Linked DNA regions of Yarrowia lipolytica. The protein of the gene in region 4 purifies or fractionates together with the protein of the main gene of each other region. This does not show direct contact. Links are inferred from orthologs where the notes say so. Each region holds a gene or a part of one and is shown on either strand. Other genes may lie near its edges. The genes, in order: YALI1_C19500g, YALI1_E04790g, YALI1_C20180g and YALI1_C03582g.

Region 1 (5,115 bases), about 1.6 Mb from region 4:
CTAAAGTTCCTCTCACCAGCTCCCATCGATGGTATTCATTTCAAGTCGTTCAACAATTCCCGTAGTGGCACATGATGGGTAGATGGAGAAGTAAAACGTTTCAGAACTGTTTCTGCTTTCTTAATATCGTCTGGAGTCCAAATTCAAGTTCCGATACTATCCTCAAAACGTGCCCTCTGACTGAACGGGGATAGGGTGAATGGGAAGCCCAATTTGAGGATTTCTCGATGGATAACTTATACAATGCACTCATAGGTCGCAGTCATTGATACATATGGCGATATAGATGCTGTATTACAGACAATTCACTACTCAGGTCGATGGTAAGTCGTATGGCAAGATGGTAAGTGGGGCGGCAAGAAGTCCGATGGCTAAGTCTGGGCAATAGTTACCATTAGTGATAATACTGTGACAATCCTGAGAGACATTGAATGGAACTCTCCCATGACTCGTTTAGAATCCATTCTCCTCCTCTCCTCGTTCTTGCAATACAGTATGTCACGGGCTGTTCACATGTCGAGAGACTCTGAAGGTCCCTGAAGTCTCTCAGAGCTGGATGGAGTCTATCAAGCCACCTCCATGTCTCGATGATACATGTTTCTCAACTCTGGTATCCCCTGGCAGACGTTTAACTCCAACTCTCCTATACATCAATTCATAACATTTATTTAACTATTCTGAGTCGCCATTCCTAGCATGTGAAACTCATACGGGCCGGTACCGGCAAAGTCAGCTCGTAGCGATGGTAGCGTTTCATTCCATCGCCCCACCCTCCAACCATATTAATCTCTTCGACCCTGCTGTCGATCTCGGCTCCCTCCGTAAGGATGGTAACCTGGGGCTCGTCCGCCGTCTCGTCGATCTCGTCCTCGACCTCCTCCATGCCGTCGCCCTCTCTGTCGGCCGTCTCGAGGGCCAGTGGGCACTCCGGGAGACCGAGATCGTCGGTCAGACTGGTTGTAACCCCGGCCCCGTCGGCCAGAACGGTCGTCTCGGCCACGATCGACTCGCCGCATCTCATTGTCGTCACTCGACTCATCGTTGTGGTGGTCCCGCTCTCTCGACTGCTGGTGGTGGTTGTCTCTCTGCTGATGGCTTTGGCCCTGAGGCTGCTGCTGCTGCTGCATCTGGGCCATCATCTGGGCCATCATGGCTTGCTGGGCTTCGGGGTCGGCCGCAGCGCCTCCCTGCATCTGCTGTACCTGCTGCATGTATTGCATGTACTGCTGCCACCATTGGGTCATGGCCTGGGGGGTCATGCCACCGTAGGAGTTCTGGGCAGGAGCGGCGGCGGCATCTGCAGTACCTCCGTGGCTGTGATTGTTGTTGTAGTTGTGGTTGCCGCCTCCATGGGAAGGTCCCGCAACTGCATTGGCCACTGCGGAAGCGCCGGCACCCTTGGACCGGTTCTCGGCTCGCTTGACCTCAATGGGCTTGTCCTTGAGAATCAGCAGGGGCTGGGCCAGAATGGTGTTCATGGCCTGCTCGGAGTCGAACGTGACGAACCCGAATCCCCGAGGCCGGCCAGAGTCCTTGTCAATCATGAGCTGAGCGTCAATGACGGTGCCGTACTGCTCAAAGAACTGCTTGTAGTCCTCTTCGGTGACATCGGAGCCCACTCCGCCCACGAAAATCTTACTGGTCTTGTCCTGCTCTTCTCGAGGGATAGCTCGCTTGGGATCGATGATCTTTCCGTCAAGGTAGTGCTCCTTGGCCATGACTGCGTTCACACACTTGGGGTCTCTGAAGGTGAGAAATCCGAATCCACGAGACTTGCCGGAAAAGTGATCGCGCATGACAGTGCATTCCAGCACCTCGCCAAACTGCGCAAAGTAGTTGGTCAGCGACTCGTCGGTGGTTTCCCAGTTGAGACCTCCAATGAACATCTTACCCTCGTCCTTGGGAGGGATGACAATGTTTCCCAGAGCGGCATTTCCATCCGACCGGTAAACAAGATCGCCGTTGGGTCCGGGCATGGCTGCTGCGACTGCCGCAGCCATCTCGGCGGGGATAGAGGGAGCCGCAGGAGCCACAGGAGCGGCGGCAGCAGGGGCAGCTGCGGCGGCGGGTGCAGTGGGAATGGCAGCGGCAGCAGGAGCTGAGGGAGCAGCAGCCAATCGAGGATCAGCAGTGGGAGCGGCGGGGGTGGCCGCAGCGGGAGCTACCGGCGTGGGGATGTTGTCCTCCGCCTTGGGCTCAACCTTGGCAGGTTTATCCTCGGCGCTGGGTTAGTATTGGTAGCAGAAGGCCGTGGGAACTCCTAGTTGGTACTCGTACAACTCCTAGAGACGATGATTTTGTAGTCACGAGCTCAAATATGTCAAGGATGTTGGTCTGGAGTGTGAGAGGAGAGGTATATGGTGCGGAGAAGGGGACGAATGTGGTCTGAAAAATGGACATCTAAAGGAAGATGGCGTCTAACGAGGAACTTGGAGAAGATTTATGATTGCATTCCAGTGCGTGGAATGACTGCTCAGAACACAGCTGGGGCAGATCTCAAGTATGTGCAGGATAAGCTAGGGGTAGAATGCTGGCTAGTGGAGATAGTCAAATGTTTTCATCGGTTCGTGTCTCGCTACTCCAGCAACCGCCGGAACAGTCTGTCTGCTCAACAGCAGTTGGGTCTTGTATCTAACTTACCCTTGGGTACTGGGTGACAGCCGTGGAGCAGTAAAAGTGAGTACAGAAGAGTCGTTATGGGCCCAATGGGGACAGGGAAGCTGGGCTATGCAAACTCGGCACAAGTCGATGGTGATCAGTTCCGAAATGGGTCTTCAGTCTGACCGTTGCAACTGATCTCCCTTTGACTGCTTTAACACCTCAGGAATCGGAACTCTCCCTGGTCAACCCACCCCTCCAACCATCCTTCCAACCACCCTTCCGACCACTAATACCATACATCTAGATTGTGCAAGTACATCTCTGGCAACTCTCCCTCCACCCCCACACAAAACAAAAGCCCTATATCCACCTAGATACTCTAAATACCTATCTGTGTCACGTCGCCGGTCGCGTGGAGTACTCACTAAATATCGTTGAGAAAATCGTCGTCGTCGTCGAGTCCAGACATGTTAACTATCTAGTCGCTATGTATGTGTGTGTGTGTGGTAGAGGAGAAAACCTCCCTCTGCGGTGTCACTATGCACTCTGTTTTACCCTAACCCATTCCCCCAATTGGGGAAAATATCGAAACGTCGTGTGTTCGATTCCTGTAAATGATTATGTTAAAAAAAAAGTCAAAGTCTAAAAAATATTTTGATAATGCGACTACTGATCTGAAAAAAAAAAAAAACACCACACAAACAGAAGCAATGAAGTACCTGCTGTTGCTGTCGCAAACGCACATGCAGTTTCGGCTGGCCGAACTCACCGCCCTGGCCCAGCTCGAAAATATCGCCGTTGACTTGTCGTCCCATGACGAGTCGTCTCCGTTCATGATTGTGGAGCTGGAGAACGACGAGGCTGCCAAAAAGCTGATTCGACGATCCGTGCTTGCCAAGTCCATCTACGAGCTTTGGGGCGGTCCAGCTGCGTCCATGGAGGAGCTTCACGAGCAGATCAAGACCCAGACCAGCCAACTGTGGCCCAAGTATGCCACCGACTCGTTCAAGTTTGAAATCATTGGATACCAATCTTCGCGACCCAAGGAGGAGTTTATCAAGATGGTGGAGGGGTTTTCATACATGGATTTCAAGGGAAAGATCAAAATGAAGTCGCCGGACCACGTGTTCACCATTCTGGAGGACTACCGAGTCATCGGGCAGAACCCCGAACCCGCTCCCGCGCGAATATTCTTTGGACGACACATTGCCAACTCCAACCGGAGTGCCATGGACACTTTTGATCTCAAGAAACGCAAATATATCGGCACGACGTCGTTTGACGCTGAATTGTCTCTTTTGACGTGCAATTTGGCGCATGTGAAGCGAAACGGGCTCATGTACGATCCCTTTGCCGGCACCGGATCGTTTCTGGTGGCTGCGGCAGCGTTTGGAGCTCTCACGGTGGGTTCGGACATCGATGTGCGCATGATCAGAGGCAAGGGTAAAGGATGCGATATTCCTGCCAACTTCAAACAGTACAACTCCGTTAACCGGCTTCTGGACGTTTTGGCGGTCGACTTCACCAACAACTCGTTCCGAAAGGGTCTCAAGTTCGATTCCATCGTCTGTGATCCTCCCTACGGAGTTCGGGAGGGTCTCAAAGTCCTGGGAGTGCGAGAGGAGGACGTTGAGAAGAAGAAGCATCTGGAAACGACTCTGGTGGACGGTCAGCTGGCGCATACTCGTCGAGATTACATTCCTCCAAAGAAGCCGTTTGAGTTTGGAAAGATGATGGATGCTCTGTTGAGTTTCTCGGCTGAGCGACTTGTTGAAGACGGCCGGCTCGCCTTCTGGATGCCCACCGCCAACCAGGACTACACAGACGCCGAGATTCCTCTCCATGAGGATCTAGAGCTCATCTGCAACTGTGTGCAGGACTTCAACCAGTGGTCGCGACGGTGTTTGGTGTACAGGCGACGAAAGGAGGGCGATAAGGGCGAGTTGAGAAAGACTGAAGGCGGTAAGGCTGAGGACTTTCGAGTCAAGTACTTCAAGGGGTTCAAGAATGAGTAAAGGTGTGAGAATGAGCTATATAGATGGTAATGCATGGTTATTGGAGACTGAAAATTGGTTTTATTTTCGTTATTTTGGTAATGCATGGTTATGGGTGACTTTTGGGACTGGTAATTGGTTTTATTTCCATGTTTTTTGTTTTATTTTCGTTTTATTTCGTTTTATTTTGTTTTATTTTGTTTTTTTTATTCTATAATATTTTATTAATAATCGTAATATTCCTGCTGACCGCTCTTCCGATCTATCCTTAAAGTTTAGTTAAAAAAGCTCCGTTTTAGTTGACCCAATACTTTGTAGTTACTTACACTGCTTCGCCAAAACAACACTCTCCAACTCACCCAGGACCACTCCTATCGTAAAAAGGAGAATATTGCCGGAATCTCCAACACCACCTGTCTCCACCAAACCCGTCCTCATCGCCTCTCGCCCATCCCCGACGCTTTTCCTTAGACCTCTCCCCGCTACCGCCAAACCTTATGCACCTGTAATTGCACACCAT
Region 2 (7,001 bases), on a different chromosome or scaffold from region 4:
CTTGGTCTTGGCAGCTTTCCGAGTAGCCATGTCGAAGATGGTTTCTGGTTAAGAAGTTTTGATTTGGTGACGAAGGTTATGCAGGTTGCGTACATATGCACTCATCGAACTGTATGGCGGGGGGTGGCATCGACACCTGATGACGTAACAAGGCGCGTTTTTCGATACGAAAGCGAAGCGTGGATTTCTTTCTAACGCGGTTGGCTCCTTTCGTGAATCAATCTTAGTCTGCTTCTATTAACAACGGGATATAGAAATACCCAGTACATTGGAATTTCCAGCCAACTTGGTAGTTAGCTTATCGCAGATTTTCAATCAGCTTGATCATATACAGTATACGTATTGGATAGCTTTGACGGGGAATAGGGATAAGGTCTGTTTGTATGGAATGCGTTTTTCACAGTATGTACTATACAGTAGCCTCCTATCTGTTTGCCTTACGTTCTAATGTTCTCTTTCCCGGGGGTACCCAGCGAAGTATAGATCTGGAGGGCGATGCTCTGTTCCACCAGATCGGCAACTCGGCAGTGTAAAGCCACGTTGGGGAAGTACTGTAGCATGTTCTACGTTGTTGGGTATGCTTATGACCAACAGTCTACATACGGTCCATGGTGCCCGCTGGTATATCTCTACAACTGAAAAGAGTGGGGTGTTCTGTTCTCACTTAGGATGGTGCTATTTGTCGACAGCTGCTTAGCCTGGCAACTGGTATGTACTGTAGCTACAATACTGTAACTACAACTTATCTAAAAATACACTAATATTAAAATATACATTATTGTGTCATTGACAGACTCAAATACATTTCTTGAACAGGTCAGAGATGAGCTCAAGGTCCTTCCAGATCAACTGCTGATATCGCTGACCCAGACGGTTAGCATACACGTTCTGCTTGTTTCGGGGCAGGTTAGCAAATCGAATCAAGGTGTGGCCATCAAGAATAGGTCTGTGGGGACTGTTTCCAGTGCCAGGCAAGATGGGATCGTACCTGTAGGCTCTAGGATGTAACCCACAGACGTGGGCTTCCTTGTCGGTGATCTGAGTCTGGATGGCATAGAGACGTCTGTAGGCATCTTCAGGGCAAGGGACGACGTCAGTCACTGATCCATCACTGCACACACCAATCACCATGAATCGATCCTCGTTTATGGGTACCATGGCCGAGGAATCGATCACCTTTCCAGAGTAGAATACAGAACGTCTCAGGAGACGGGCTCCAGAGTACGACTGAGGGTCATCGGGGTCGTACTCGAGGATGTGCAGTCGTTTCTGGAGATCAGCCACAACAAATGTCAGGTTCTCACCCTCGATAGCAAAGTCACAGGTGGTAACCAACACCCTCTGCAGGTCACGGGCGAACGGGATCATCTGGTACGGGTCCATGGAGAACCCGACAAACTGGACAGATCGGGTGGCATCACCGAGCAGAAGCATGGAGTTCAGACTCTTGGCAACGGCCACGTAAGTCTGCATATCGAGGAAAGCAACAGGAACGAGGGTAAGGTCATCCTGAAGAGCCTGTACAAGCAGCTTCTGGCCCTGGACAGCTAGAAGACGACCAGATACCTCGCAGACAGCAGTGAAGGCCCCACGGACACGGTCCTGAACCAGCTTCTTGAGTCGTCTATTGGTCTCGGGTCGTTCCTTCTCAGGAACAATCTCAATGACATCAAAGAGGTACAGAGCACCTCGAGCAGCGAGATCCTCACCTCTAAGAATGGAGGTTCCGACAGCCACCACCTCCCGCTTTTGTGACTTTCTATCAGAGATGGACAACTTGACAGACTCGCAACAGAGGGCCGCTTCAGCGGGCATCTCGAACTCATAGGAGTCAATGACAGTCCACGAATAAGGGTTGACGATGCGAATGGCACCCTGATAGGTAGTGGCAGGCATGATGTCTGGTGTAAGACTCTCGATCACCTCGTCGTCTTCATCACGGACAACATGGGGAACTGTCTTGTGAGTAGCAATGACATAAACGTCCATGGTCTCGTGATATGTGACTTTGGAAATGGTCTCTCCGCAGAGCTGGACATGCTTCACGGGCCAATTGGTCTCGAGAGAAAAGCTAGGGTCGAATCTGCACTCGGCCACCTCTCCCGCTTGCGTCAAGTAAGCAAATTTTCCGTCCCAGGAAGTGAAAGCAACTGCGCCCTTAGTCTCACCGAACTCGATTAGTCGCGGAGAAGTATGCAAAGTCTTGACTAAGATGTACGCGGTTTCACCAGTCACTCCAAGTGTGTGTTTTCCGTTAATAAGAGGGACTTGGGTAAGTCGTCTATCGGAGTTGATTGTAGGGGTTCGCTCAAGGAAGATCTTTCGGAACCTCAGCTTGTCATTGTAGTGATAAGGCTCATAAACGACAAGCTGCTGAGGAGTGAGGAGAACCAGGTAGTCCCGAAGAATATGATCGTCTCCAAGGGGACTCAATGCGATGTCCACAAGTTCAAGAGGGGCATCATAGAGCTGACCGTCCTTCTCTTTGATGAAGCCAGACAGATCAGAAGCATCTAGAATGAGACGATCGTCGGAATTCAGACCTTGGAGCAGAAGAGACCCATCCGCGTAGCACACAACAACAACAGGTCGCGAGTCTTGAGCGGGAGATCCCTGGCGTGTACGTTTCTTGCTTGGTGCACCGAAAGTAAGGGAGGAGTCAGTGGCGTAGATACCGATGGCCTTGGACTCACTGGCAGGCTCGATAGAGACCTGCGCAGCCTTCAAGAATGGTCTCTTGTTGATGCTCACGGCCTCCAATATCTTCACCTGGCCATCAGACAGCAACACAAGCACGTAGTTGCCCAGTACACGAGCCTCCACGGCTGTAGTACCTTGGGGCAGGGAGTATTTGTGGGGCTGTCCGATCTTGGCGTCGTAAATGTTGACAGTTTCCAAACAGACCTGGAGGAGCGCCGAATCCAGCATTGAAGAAGAAAAGATTGTGGTGACATTCGAAACAAAATGCTTCTTGGTCTTCTTCTTCTTGGTACTGAGAGAAACGTCTTCAATAACCCCAGCGGCATCAACATAGTACAGATATGAGTTCTCACTGTCAGACGAGACAACATAAGTTCGAGATTTGGCAACCTCCCCTTCCTCCTCAAAACGCACGGGTACTGACCAGAACTGGCCTCCCGGCATGTCCTTATACAAGGACTTGCGTTTGTATGGCATCAGTGCGCTTGTGAGAATGGCCAGAGCAGAGTTTGCACCGACACCTGTAGTAGTGACAAACTCAACACCTTGACTGCCTCTATTCTTGCCCAAAGCCAGCGATTGCATGGGTCCCATACCAAGCATGCGGTCGGCCAGACGTAGCTTCAATGGACGATTGGTAGTGTCCTCTGTTTGAGCTGTGTCACCGCCATAAAGATCATCGTCAGACTCGTTTCCGTCATCTAGAGTCTCCTCGGGCTGACTTTCTGGCTCACCATGGTACCACTTGACTAAGAGCGAATCTCCAGCTCGAGATCCAAGGAAAATAGTTCCATCAGGCCCAGCTGCAACAGAGGAAGGCTGGGATAGGATGAAGTTGTCTGGCTCAATAGGTCGCAGTTCGAGACTAGCCACACGTCTACCATCCTTGTTGAACAGCAGACTGAAAAACTGGCCATCTTCTGTCACCAAGAGGGCGGTATTGCCCAACTCCTGGATGAAGCAGACCTCAGCACCTTCCAGTCGCAGGTCAAGAGTCGACTGGTCCCTCGATACGATGAGATCAGAGTTTTGTCGATGTGTGTTGTTGACCATGACACCTGTGTAACTAGCCGAGGAGTCGATGTAGAGAATGGTGTTGGCGCAGATGATAAGTGAGCCACCAAGAGGAGCAGGCAGAGGAATGACCTTCTGGGCATCCACTGGCAGGCCATTCAAGGTACCAATTACGGTGGAGTTCTTCTGATGGACGTCGACACTGACGATAGCGTAGCTCACCGTGTCCTTGAGAATATTCTTCATACCCACCCATGCTCTCTTGGGCTGAAAAAGGATACCCATTGTCGTTTCTCGGTACTCGTGAAGGAAGCAGATATCCATCACGTTCTCGATACGTTTATCGAGCCTCGATGCCTTAACAATGAAGGAGGGATCAAATACCTGGCCACTTTCTGGCATCTCATCGTCATCAAGACCCTTCTCGATAATAGGCAGAAACGCCATTCGATCATTCTGGAACAGCAGACAGGTGTAGAACGAGTTCGCCTCATCTGATACAGCAACAGACGAGCACTCGGGCTCGAAGAAGTTGCTCTCGACCAAGCCTTTTTCGTAGTAATGCAGCGATTTGGTGTCGATGGTGAAACTGCTAGCATTCCATGCAACAATCACGGCCTTGGCATGCTTGACAGAGATGTAGAGCGAATCCAAATCGTAGTTGTCGATTGTCTTTATTCGGGTCACGCCCGTGACGGTTCCATCGAGGTAGTATTCGGTGATGAGCTCGAGTCGAGGAGCTTCATCCTTGGTAGGGATGTCGTCCTTGTATCGGAAGATCTGGAGCAGCTGCGAGCCCTTGACTAGCACCAGGTTCCTCTCGCCGGTGAAGTTGCACGACAGACTGTGAGTGACGGCGGTCGGCTCTGTCAGATTCTTGAAAATGTGCATGTCGTGCTACTGTGAGACAGTATATCCTGTAGTTCCAGATCGTGATGATTTCTTGGACTTTCAGAACCTTAAGTTTGGGAGTTCGGACGGGATGGTTGAAAGAGGTGTGACGAATATTGAGGGGATGTGTGATGTAAGGGCAATAGTTTTGAAACGAAAAGGCATTTAAGAGAACTTCTGGATATTGAGTCGTGACTGGATGAGCCCTGTGTCCAGATGTTCCTTACGAATCGCACAGTGTTACTTACATTAGTTGAAATATGGAGCGGGTGGGTCGGGCAGTATTACGGCTACCGAGGTGGAGTGGGCCTATTTGACAGAACAGTATTTACTAAAGTCACTTGTTTTAGTGCAAGCTACCAAGCCGGGTATCCATCTCTACTGTGGCCCAGCATCACACCTATCGCCTCTTAATTACAAGCACTTTCCAACATGCATAACGAGGTAAATACTTGCAAGTTCAACATCAACCGCCACACTTTGCTAGATCATGCAACTCCCACCCGAACTGATTACACTAGTGGCGACTTTTCTCGACTTCAAGGACCTGTCTCGATTAACATGTGTCAACAAACACCTCTATGAACTGCTGGCAACTGACATCTGGAAAGACGTCTACTACTCTGCAGGCTACGTTCCCCCTCTACTAACATGTGCGCCCCTGATCCAGCATGTTCATTTCGACTCAGCAGTCACAACGATGTTCTTCAACCGAAAAAACTTCCCAGCAATCAAACAATTTTCTGTATCGTACTACGAGGATATAACTCCGTGGATAGGGTTGCCTGTGGGCACTGTGTTTCGCAACTGGAGGCGGGATCTGTATCAGCAGTTCTACCCCCAGCTAGCCGAGTATCTCAAGGCCCACGAAGTTACTCTTGCCAGCCTTTTGCTCTACGACCAGTCCTTTCTCTACTACTTCATTGAGGCAGACAGTTGTCACAAAATCGAGAGGTTACGATTCGACACCAACTTCACCGACACAGTTCTGTACCATGACAAGGTGTACCCTCCGATATTGCGACTAGCAATTGTTGAGAAGTTCATTCGCGCTGTAGAAGCTGCAGGGTGCAGACCTCCCTTTGATCGTGATCAAGGCAGCTTGTCATTTTGGAACCAGATTGAGGACATTGAGAGAGGTCCTGATGGTCCCATCATGCCACCGCTTCCAGCTGATTTTGGAGACTTGTCTGGTGAACGGACTTAATCGAGATCTACTGACCAATCGAATCGTTGTCGTGCATTGTCATTATATAAAGATGGTGAAGATTTACTCGTCTTTCACGACAGGCTTGGGAATGGGCTTTCGAAGGACATTTCCGACCTCGTTGAGCACATAGCTGGCCAGGAAAAGAACAGGGATGTGCAGAGGATTTCCAGCAGCCCATGTAAACTTGGTGCCTCCAAGGTTGAGCTGACCATAGACCACTGCCAGGAAGGCTACTCGCAGAACGGTCCAGGGAAGTCGACCAATGTAAGACGAGTTGGCGGGGGACCCGGGAGTGAACTGACACTGGTACTGGTTGCCAATTGAGATGAACAGAGATGCAACTGTGGCAGCAAGCCAAGTCTTGTTAGAAGTAGGCACCCGGGTACACATGAGATACGAGGCGTAAGCAGAGGCCAAAGTGCCCAGGCCGCCGACAATGGAGAACTGGACACCCTCGTCACCCTGGACGTTGAGGGTAGTTTCGTTGAGGTGATTGAGGATGAAGGACATGGTGTGCTAATCGATAGAAGATGAGATGAGCACAGTTGGAGATGATGTTTGAAGTCCTTTAGAGTTGTATCGTAGTCCAATTTCTGCATGTGAATATGCACCCCACAGAGACGTTTGAGTGCGAGTGCTGTAACGATTGGGACCTTTTGAGTATGGAGCTTTACTTCATTGGGGCGATGAGAAAGTCGCCTGTATGTCTCCCTGTTATATTTGAGCTTCCGTGTGTTTTTTCAAGTAAAATAATCGTCGCTATCATTAGCTACAAGCATCTCTTTCGGATGCTTGTAATAGGCGTTATAGACGTCGGGGTTTTGAAGGCAAGAATCTCAGTTGCCTTATAGCTGGTCATTCAGCTCAGCCATAGCCAGTTTAGTTAGAGGGAGAACCCAACAGCTACATTACTGTTCGCACTTGTCTCTATGACCCCTGATACATCATCTAAAAGAGCCATGTGCTTGAACATCCTTTCTTGTATGGATTTACTCGCAAGGCCCCCACGATGTATGTACCGTTCGTAAATTGTGAATAATATTTGACTCACTCAACCTCTCGATGTGCCTGCGTGTACAGTAAGTACAAGTACGGTAACTCCTTCGGTCCTCCCAACGCGTTGTCTGTGAGGCTTAGATCGAAATGTCTACTTAATCATGTACCAATGGAGAGTCGAACGCAGTTG
Region 3 (5,050 bases), about 1.7 Mb from region 4:
ATACAGCTTGCATGCCACAATGGCGCTTCAAACTTACATGGCCGGTAGCTATGGGTCCAGTCTCGATCAATACTACGCTGCTGAGGCTGCTACCAGTTCCTGGAGGTACTTGTGTTCTAGCTTCACTTGATCCGAGCTTCCGGGAAGGTTACGATTTCGAGACCTTGAAAAATTCTCAGACGTTGAGGGGACGTTGAGACGCGGTCAATGGGTCTCGGTGAATTTGTTTTTTCCTCTTGTCAAAAGTGTATTCTTCGGACTGCGGTAGCCGCCAAGGTGGCAGGTGGCGCATTTCGATCGTAGATTGCCAATAGTGCAAGATGTCAAATGTGACGCTGGATGCAAAACACCATTAGACGGAATTATCTGTCGAAATATGGTACAAGTAGTTGTTCTTTCGCTATAAACTACATTCCAGAACTTGTCTAGACTCAGTCCGAGGATGACATGACAGGAAACGAGCCCGTCAGAATCGTCATTTCCAACTCCGAGAAACAGAGAACATAGCAGTCTGCCTCGAGAAAGAGAAAGACAGATGCAAGTCAACGGAGATGCTGTAATTAACTCCCTTAGCAACCATCAACGGACACCCTAGCGATATAAAGAGCTCAGATTTAGTCTCCTCCACGATTTTTCAGTTCCACTAGACCCAAGAAAGAAAAGTCTGAAAAGAGAGAGAACAGTCATTGTCTGATTATCTAGATGACCAATGGCTACAAGTACAATTACTTGTTTATTGATTTGTAATTGTCGCAAACAGGACCAGTGGCTTGCTCAGAAATCTCAACAGGCTTCCGGAACGCCATGGGCTTCGTCCTTGTTGTCCGTCTTACTCGAAATGTACAGGATTATCTGGCCAGTTGGCTGTATCTACTTGTTGACCTACTTGTACTTGTACACTAGTGCCACTTCATTTGTTATCATACGGATAGATACCCGCACGTTTTATTATTTAATATCTAGTATCAAAGAATGCGATTGTGTGTCAGAAAAGGTCTGGATCTTCTGACTGTTTCTGTTTCTGTTTCTGTTGATGGCGCTGGCGGTTCTTCTGCAGCCAGGGCCTGATCAGGGAGGGTGAGAGATGTTGCTCGGATTAGTAGTCGAGCTCCACCTTCTCCCTCTTTGTCCTTCCTTCTCTATCTTCTCCTCTCCTCTTTCTCACCAGGCTCTCTGCCAGCTTTCCACTCTCAGCATAACATGTGGCATGGAAGATCTTATCTCCAACCTGAACCGCGTCTGTCCACACCCAGTCCTCAGCTTCATCACTGAGTTCCGTGTTGAAGCCTCCTGTGCAAATGGGACAAACCTGCTTCTTCTTAGAAGCACTGCTGGGAGCCAGAACCCATTGTTTCTTGACACTTTCCATGTCCACCTTTTGCACCTTTTCTTCTTTTTCCTCCTTTTGCTCTCCTGCCACCCACAAATGCTCGGCCAGGTACCACCGTCTGTTCTGAGCTCGTCCCTCGTCCTGGCGCATCTTCTTATTGATTCGGAAATGCCAGTCCATGTGCTGCATACGGGCATGGTCCTGATTATCTCGGAACCGCCGCCCACAAATGTTGCACACCTTGGGCATCTTGCCGTAAAGGTTGAATACCAGATTGGGGCGAGGCTTCAGCAGAGAAGACGTAGAAAGTTCCACGTCGTTAGACTCCAAGGAAGACAGCAAAGAAGAGGCACCAGAGGCCAACAGAGAGTTAATGTCCGGTGCAGGAACAGTACCAAGGTTAGGAAACATGGGAAAAGGCATACCAGGCATAGGCATGGGTGGAACAGGCATACCAGGCATAGCCGGCATTCCAGGCATTCCAGGCATACCAGGCATTCCAGGCATTCCACCAGGTATACCTCCTGCTAACAAGCCAGCGGCTTGTAGGGAAGCTAGCAAGTTGCTTGGTGTCGTCTGCTGCTGTTGCTGCTGCTGCTGCTGCTGCTGCTGCTTTAGTCGCTCGTTTTCTTCGTATTCAGCAAGCTTCTTCTCCTCATGGGCTAGAGAAGAGGCCAATTGAGCCTCAATATTGGACAGGTACGACACAGGAATGGCCTGGGACTGAAGAACGGCCTGTAGCTGTTTGAGGACAGGAATCCGTTCCTTGGCATCGACGTCGCCTGGAATATGTTGTAGACGGTCAGAAGTCATGTCGATCACGTGGCTGCACTTCTCCAGCAGCTGGGGTTGTGTCAGGCCCGCATTGGGCACTCCGAAACCTCCTTGGCCGAGAACTGGAGTGCCTAGAGGTGGAGTAGCGGGGTTGGGGGTGCCCAGGTTGGGGGTTGCGGGGTTTGGCGTGGCCCGTGATGTGACTTCGTTGATTCGTTCCAGAAAAGAGGCAATCTTTCGCATGGGTTCTGCTGGGAACAGCATGCCGCCTGTGGCCGACGTTTTCCAGGTGCCGTACAGCTCGATCAGTTTTCGTCGGATCGATTCGGGAACTTGGGTGTATGTGTCGGCAAAAGTGCGGTACAAGTTGATACCGAAGCAGGTTGTGTATGGTGCTCCTACGTTCTTGCAGATGGAGTCGAGCAGGTACATTGCTGGCAGCTTGTACTCTGGAGCGCACTGGGTTAGTATGTAGAGATAGATATAGGCGGCGGTGGCATATGGAAAAGATTATTGATGTGTCGTCATTCGCAGTATGATCTCTCGTCAGTCACTAATCACATCGTTGTCTCGAAGACATAACGACAGCCTGGAGATACAAACTCCATCACACGAGTTGGACCAAGCCAATCGATGGATCAGAGGTTGTATACATGTGCCACGTTGCAAAATCAATCGTCAACCTGTCCCAAGCTTCATGTTAACGCCACCCATAACCACAGTCGCAGCACATGATCACCAACATGACACCATACGCCTTATTAAACACCGTCACTGGGATAGAGCAAGAGTCGGCGTACCGTGTGGCCGGCACCGGTGTTTTCAGGTCGCTCTGTGTCCTTTGATCTCGTCCTTGTCGTCGGCATCTCCTCATTGTGGTTCCTCCGCTACTCACCTTACTTATTCGCTCCTCAATGGCTCGGGTAATGGCCTTGGCAGCGTGTCTGTTTTCCTCGGCAATCACCGTGAGGTTGGTGATGATGGGCTTCTGGACCCCCGTCAGCTCCTCCAGAGCGTACAGGTAGTCCTCTCGAATCTCATCCAGCTCGGACATTACATATATAGTGTCGCTGACGTTGATACTACGAGGAGGAAAGAGTCTTGCAGATGGATGCACGGCCTGAAAAAACTTTAATATTTAGTCATGTGACCAGCAAAGTTGCAAGAGTGCTGACTTATCAACCACGGTGCGAATTGAACGGCGAATTGCAGGAACAAAAGAAAAAAGCCATCCATCAAACTTGCGCTCCCATTTCCACTTCTCCCCTAACCCTTTATATATCTACAATGTACTGTACGTGCTGTTTGTACTTGTCCTCCAACTTTTAGTGTATGGCTCTTGTCTGGTGGCATTTTTTTTTAATTTTTTTTAATTTTTTTTAATTTTTTAATTTTATTTTTTCAAGTTTTGCTCTCTCTCCAGTTCGATTCCTGCTCTTTTTATTTTTATTTTTATTTTATTTTTATTTTTTATTTTATTTATTTTTAATTTTTACCAACTACAAGTGTTATCGTACGTTCGATTCTGACGTAGACCATTAAAGTTCGTGGAGATTAGCTCTCCGGAAATGAGCCGAGGTAGCACGAGGCGGAATTATGGATGGGATATGCGATGGCCGCGAGCCCGTAATGTCCACAATCAATTGTCGCTCACAAAAAGACCCGCTTTATCACCGCATTTCTCCGAAATTGGCCCTTGTTGGCGCGGAAAACCCCGACCGTTGGCTTCTCCACCTTTCTCACGTTGAGCAACTATTGTAGTTGAAACTTTAACCAACGTTATCAGATTTTAGTTGCCGAAACTGGCCAACCAGGAGGCGGCAAAAGCCACCACAACAGCCCTTGCAGCGCCCATGGCACACGCGCCTCTGCTATCTTTGCGCGGTTGGGCGCTATCCGGATAATTAGGCGGGGGTCCGCGTTTTGGCCGAGCGTCGGAAACTTTCGGATCTCGCACGGTAATTGTCGGGTGATAGACAGGGCCAGTATGACCAGCATCGCAGTTGGTGAGCAGCACAACAGGTCCGTCGAGCGCCGTCACGGAGGCGTTTGTGGCCTATCCCGAGCAATCCGGGGACGGTGGGCCACGTGACTCCCTCCCCTCCCCCTGCGCACACAAGACACACCCTGGTTTGAGCGCTGATACTTTGGCTGTTGGTTCCCAATCGCTGCCCCTCTGGAGAAACTTCGGAGCTGCATCCTGACTCACTTTGGAATTTTTGTCTTGGTGAAAAACCCAAACTGTATATCAGTGTCTGCTTTCCCTCCACACCTTTTGCACTTCTCCAGTCTCCATCGCTACCGTCCAACAAATGGCTCCTATTTCGTCCGATAAGAAGCAGTCTGGTGCTGCCCGAGTTCTCGGTTCTGGTGAGTATTGAATGTGGGTGTGGGCGCCTGGACCCCTGAAAACGACGGGCTCTCAGCCGGTCGCTTGGGATGCGCGCCGGTGTCGGCCTTTTTTCGGTCACCATGGCACCACCGCAGACCCATGTGGCATGTGAATATGACCACAAAAAGGTCGCGAGGAGGGATTGAAAAATAACAGAACCAGGGCGCCAAACACACCCCGTCTTTTTATCAGCGGCCGGCGATGATATGTTTCTGTTCCTTGCTTCTGGAAACACGCCCTTGTGTCTCTTCAGCCGTGTGCGCTCTTGTGTTGGGTGATATATGGGAAAAGGTGGTGGCGCTTGTGGGGTTCCCGTGGTTGATTTCAAGACACTTTGACGAGGTTGCACTCTGCCCAGCGACCGCACCTCTCAGTGACCCTGATTACGTTGATCGTATTGTCGTACGGCTGGGTTCAGGGAACCAATCAACTAGAGCGTTAATAAGCAAGTTTGATAGGAAGTAGACTGGCCCGGAAGAGTGTGAATTCACCCGTGGAGCTCCTACCGGATCATTCAGGGGTCCAGATCAACTGATTGACCGGTTTCAAACACC
Region 4 (3,957 bases):
TTTTCCAGGCCCCGTTTTCATGGTCTTGTGTAAATGCAACAGCTTTTCGTCAAAATGCATCATGGCGTCTTCTCCCTCATCATCTGTAGTAAGAACCAACGGTCTGTCCTTAGCTCCAGAGTAAGCAGCCACTCGTAGAATTCCAATGGCTCCAATGGCATCCAATCTATCCGCATCTTGGACCACATGTAACTCCACACATTCGTCGTGCCACTGGCCCCATTCACCGGTCTTTCGCAGCTTTTTTTCGGTCGAATAGCTCATGTTGGTGGCAATCTTGAGCACCAGATCTTGCTGCTCTGGCGATAGACCCGAGTCCGAAAGACAACTCATCATGATACTCTGTCCGTCGCTCAATTGGGTCTGGTACTTGTGGTCGTTGACGTCGTGCAACAGAGCTGCGACCTCGACAACCTGGAGATCGACCGTCTGGCTCTGGGCTACTTTGCGACCCAGGACTTTGGCCAACCGAACAACTCGATCCACGTGATTCATGTCATGAGACGGATCGAACTGCGCCATATGTATGGCAACTCGTGAATGGATGGTAGACATGGGAGACGGGAGAATTGATGCACTAAAGAAGGATGGCAAAGTCGCACAGTCGTGTCACGGCTTTACGCGCTCGCTAGTCTCGATTTAGTGTGGATAGTGCTGTGTGGTTTGTCAGCATCATGTCAGGTTCATTTGGCGTTGGGAGATTGGTGCTTAAATTAAGTAAAAAGGTGAAAAATTGGCGGGGAAAAAATGAAAAATACTGAAAACACTGAAAATACTGAAAATACTGAAAATACTGAAAATACTGAAAATGTAGAAAATACTGAAAATACTGAAAATACTGAAAATACTGAAAATACTGAAAATACTGAAAATGTAGAAAATACTGAAAATACATAAAATATAGAAAAATGCAGAAGAAAAAAAAAACCTGTACTTTCAGCGTGATGGGGGGATAGAAGAGAATTTAAAACATGTACTACTTGTAGTAGAGGAATGGGAGAGATATTCTACATTGTAATATCTATAGTGGAAGTGAGGATACCTTCTGACTTGTTTTTAACGAGTCTTGTATCTAGTCTCCATGGAACAGTGAGTGATACTGGAGATAGTTTTCACATCAACAACTGGAGATCAAAGAACCAATATGGGTTTCTGAATCATCTAGATACTTATCCTGCCGTTTAATATGGCATTCATGCTATCAAATCGGCTGTAGAAGTTTCGCAGATGGATATCTCTACTCTTGGGTACAGTGTACTCTGTTTGGACTGTGGAGTGTTCCTCAGTAAAGATACTCAACTTAGTTGGACTCCACTTGACATTATACTTCACGCCCGTTCCATCCATGACATTCCATGAAGTTCCACCATACTCCCATACTGGTACATTTACTGGAGATCAGTACCACTGAGGACCCTATTTATACCCCCACAATCCCCGTCGACACTCCCCCTTCCCCATTGTGTCTTCCACAATCCCCATACACCTGGACCTCCATATTTCTCCGTGTCCCGGTGGCGAGCATAAAGTAAGCTTTTTCAGGCCCATGATCTCCAACTGCACCACAGTGCCAGACCCAGCAACAGCACCATCAGTGTCGAGTAACGGTACGAGGAGACACAAAGTGGAACACCCCCTGGCGACCAGAGACACAAGCAGAGCCATACAGATCGGGACAGACAGACAGAGGCAGCTGTGACACGAACGAAAAATAGACCAAACGATTGGAATAACGAAAAGCAGAACACCAACCAAGAAAAGCAGAGATAACCAAGTCCTTCCCACTGAAAAAGAAAAAGAAAAAGAAAGAAAAAGAAAAACAACCCGGCCGGCCTATCGCTTCCACTTTGCATCACCATCACCGATCATCTACCACCTACTGATTGACCACCAGCATCATCTTCCTTCATACACAGCCTAACACCTCGACCGAGAAACAGGCAGATACCCTTGCATTAAAACAACACCCTCCATTTTACATCCATCTCACGAAATGTCCTTCCAACAAAACCTCAACGTGACACTCATGTGTCCCGAGTGCAAAATCCTGCCACCAGACATTGTGGAACGGTTCGCGGAGGGAGACATGGTCTGTGGCCAGTGTGGTCTGGTCCTCTCTGACCGAGTGGTTGATACCCGGTCTGAATGGAGAACCTTCTCCAACGACGACCAGGGCTCCGACGACCCCTCGCGAGTGGGAGACGCCATGAACCCTCTGCTGGAGGGCTCCCAGCTCAACACGATAATCTCGTTTGGAGCTCCGGGCTCGTCGGTCGGCAGAGACCTCAACCGAACCCAGTCGCGGTCTCTGCAGGACAAGAAGGACGCGGCTCTGTCAGCCGTGTATGCCAAGATTTCCCAGATCTGCGACGGTATTTCGCTACCCCGAGTGGTGTCCGACGCCGCCAAGGAGGTCTACAAGCTGGTTCATGACGACAAGCGACTGCGGGGAAAAACCCCCGACGCCATCATCGCCACCGTCATTTTCATCGCTTGTAGACACGCCAACGTGCAGCGAACCTTCCAGGAAATCGGAGCTCTGACCAACGTGTCCAAGAAGGAGATTCGACGAACTCTAGAGCTCATGAAACGGCTGCTCGAGGGAACCAATATCCAGGCGTTCCGATCCACCCAGACCAACCCCGGTGCTCTTATGCCCCGATACTGTTCCCATCTGGGACTCAATTCACAGGTGGCCAACCTGGCAGAAGACATTGTCAAGCGAGCCAAGGAAATCGGTACTCTGGACGGCCGTTCGCCCATTTCAGTTGCTGCCGCAGCTATTTACATGGCAGCTGCACTATATGGAAATGACATGAGTGCACAGAGAGTCAGTGAGAAGACGGGAGTGAGTGACGGAACTATCAAGACGTCGTATAAGCATTTGTATGAGGCGAGGGAGAAGCTGGTGAGTAAGCAGTTGCTGGATTCGGGCAAGGTTTCTTTTGAGACGTTGCCCAAGGTGTAGAACACTCATGAACGAAACCAGTGTGTGTTCTACGACGGACTAGGAGGTTGTGAGCTAGCCTCACGTAGGTATTCCGGCGAAGCGGCTTTCCTAGACCGGCATCCGAGAGTGCTTGCTCACAGTCGTGGGTATTATCTTGTCCGTAATACAGCCACGTCCAAGACTTAGAGAGTGGAGTTACATGAAAACATAGAAAACGAATTGGAATTGTATTATTTTGATGAGCTGTGGAGTTGTACCGCATTTAAACACCTGATCATTTCATTACACGTTATCATATACTTGTTCGTAGTTAGACCTTTGTCTCGACGACATTGTCTTTCTGGCAGGACTTTTCAGAACCGAGGTCTTGGTTCTCATCATCGTTTCTCTCGGTCTCTTTCTTGTTGGTATTTCCAAAGACAACACCCTTGACTCTCTCTTCCATCTGACTAAGATCGACATTAGGAAGAGTGACGGCAAAGAGGATCAGAGCTCCTCCAACAATGACTGGGCCGTAGAGCAGGTGTCTGTAGACGTTGTTGAAAGCTGCAATGATGGCGGTTCTCTCCTCAGAGCCCCAGGCGTACTTCAATGGAGCATTGACATTGTTGACCATGGTGTCAATGTCTTTTTCCGAAAGGAACGGAGCGTAGTCTGCCAGTCTTTTGGGATACTGTTGTCTGTACATGGAGCCTGAAATGGCGTCTCCAATGACTCCTCCTACAGAGATTGAGGAGTAGAAGATGGCAGTCGCTGCTACCACCTGTTTGTGGGATACCACGGCCTGAATGAGAACCAGCACCGGATACTGGATCATTCCTGTTCCCAGTCCTTCAATGACTTGCGCAATGATGAATTGGGCCAGCGAGTTGTCCGGTTGTCGGTATCTGTAGGTGAGCCCCAGACCCAGCATGTACAGACACCCTCCCAGAATGATTGTTGGTTTCAGTCGGTAGGTGTATCTGATGAGAGGGGCGACTAGGAGCGAACCAAAGGTGGAAGCCACG

Evidence for each region.
Region 1: the proteins of YALI1_C03582g (region 4) and YALI1_C19500g purify together in Saccharomyces cerevisiae (affinity purification with mass spectrometry; 3 studies listed by BioGRID, with this or other methods). This does not show direct contact. The link is inferred for Yarrowia lipolytica from reciprocal best matches to the Saccharomyces cerevisiae genes SUA7 and HRP1.
Region 2: the proteins of YALI1_C03582g (region 4) and YALI1_E04790g purify together in Saccharomyces cerevisiae (affinity purification with mass spectrometry; 3 studies listed by BioGRID). This does not show direct contact. The link is inferred for Yarrowia lipolytica from reciprocal best matches to the Saccharomyces cerevisiae genes SUA7 and CFT1.
Region 3: the proteins of YALI1_C03582g (region 4) and YALI1_C20180g purify together in Saccharomyces cerevisiae (affinity purification with mass spectrometry; 3 studies listed by BioGRID, with this or other methods). This does not show direct contact. The link is inferred for Yarrowia lipolytica from reciprocal best matches to the Saccharomyces cerevisiae genes SUA7 and PCF11.

The regions. Positions count from the first base shown.
Region 1 is NC_090772.1:1,947,797-1,952,911, forward strand, and holds YALI1_C19500g (uncharacterized protein), read right to left. Parts: upstream 3,071-5,115; coding exon 3,027-3,070; intron 2,224-3,026; coding exon 783-2,223; downstream 1-782. Other genes in the region: YALI1_C19510g (uncharacterized protein), read left to right, coding at 3,216-4,616. UniProt on the Saccharomyces cerevisiae protein: RNA-binding protein, which is involved in the polyadenylation-dependent pre-mRNA 3'-end formation and cooperates with the cleavage factor CFIA complex and the cleavage and polyadenylation factor (CPF) complex.
Region 2 is NC_090774.1:474,454-481,454, forward strand, and holds YALI1_E04790g (uncharacterized protein), read right to left. Parts: upstream 4,606-7,001; coding exon 796-4,605; downstream 1-795. Other genes in the region: YALI1_E04744g (uncharacterized protein), read right to left, coding at 1-30; YALI1_E04795g (uncharacterized protein), read left to right, coding at 5,096-5,812; YALI1_E04807g (uncharacterized protein), read right to left, coding at 5,876-6,325. UniProt on the Saccharomyces cerevisiae protein: RNA-binding component of the cleavage and polyadenylation factor (CPF) complex, which plays a key role in polyadenylation-dependent pre-mRNA 3'-end formation and cooperates with cleavage factors including the CFIA complex and NAB4/CFIB.
Region 3 is NC_090772.1:2,015,450-2,020,499, forward strand, and holds YALI1_C20180g (uncharacterized protein), read right to left. Parts: upstream 3,159-5,050; coding exon 3,000-3,158; intron 2,564-2,999; coding exon 1,097-2,563; downstream 1-1,096. Other genes in the region: YALI1_C20198g (uncharacterized protein), read left to right, coding at 4,417-4,474. UniProt on the Saccharomyces cerevisiae protein: Component of the cleavage factor IA (CFIA) complex, which is involved in the endonucleolytic cleavage during polyadenylation-dependent pre-mRNA 3'-end formation and cooperates with cleavage factor NAB4/CFIB and the cleavage and polyadenylation factor (CPF) complex.
Region 4 is NC_090772.1:356,270-360,226, reverse strand, and holds YALI1_C03582g (uncharacterized protein), read left to right. Parts: upstream 1-1,993; coding exon 1,994-2,968; downstream 2,969-3,957. Other genes in the region: YALI1_C03596g (uncharacterized protein), read right to left, coding at 1-555; YALI1_C03550g (uncharacterized protein), read right to left, coding at 3,261-3,957. UniProt on the Saccharomyces cerevisiae protein: General factor that plays a major role in the activation of eukaryotic genes transcribed by RNA polymerase II.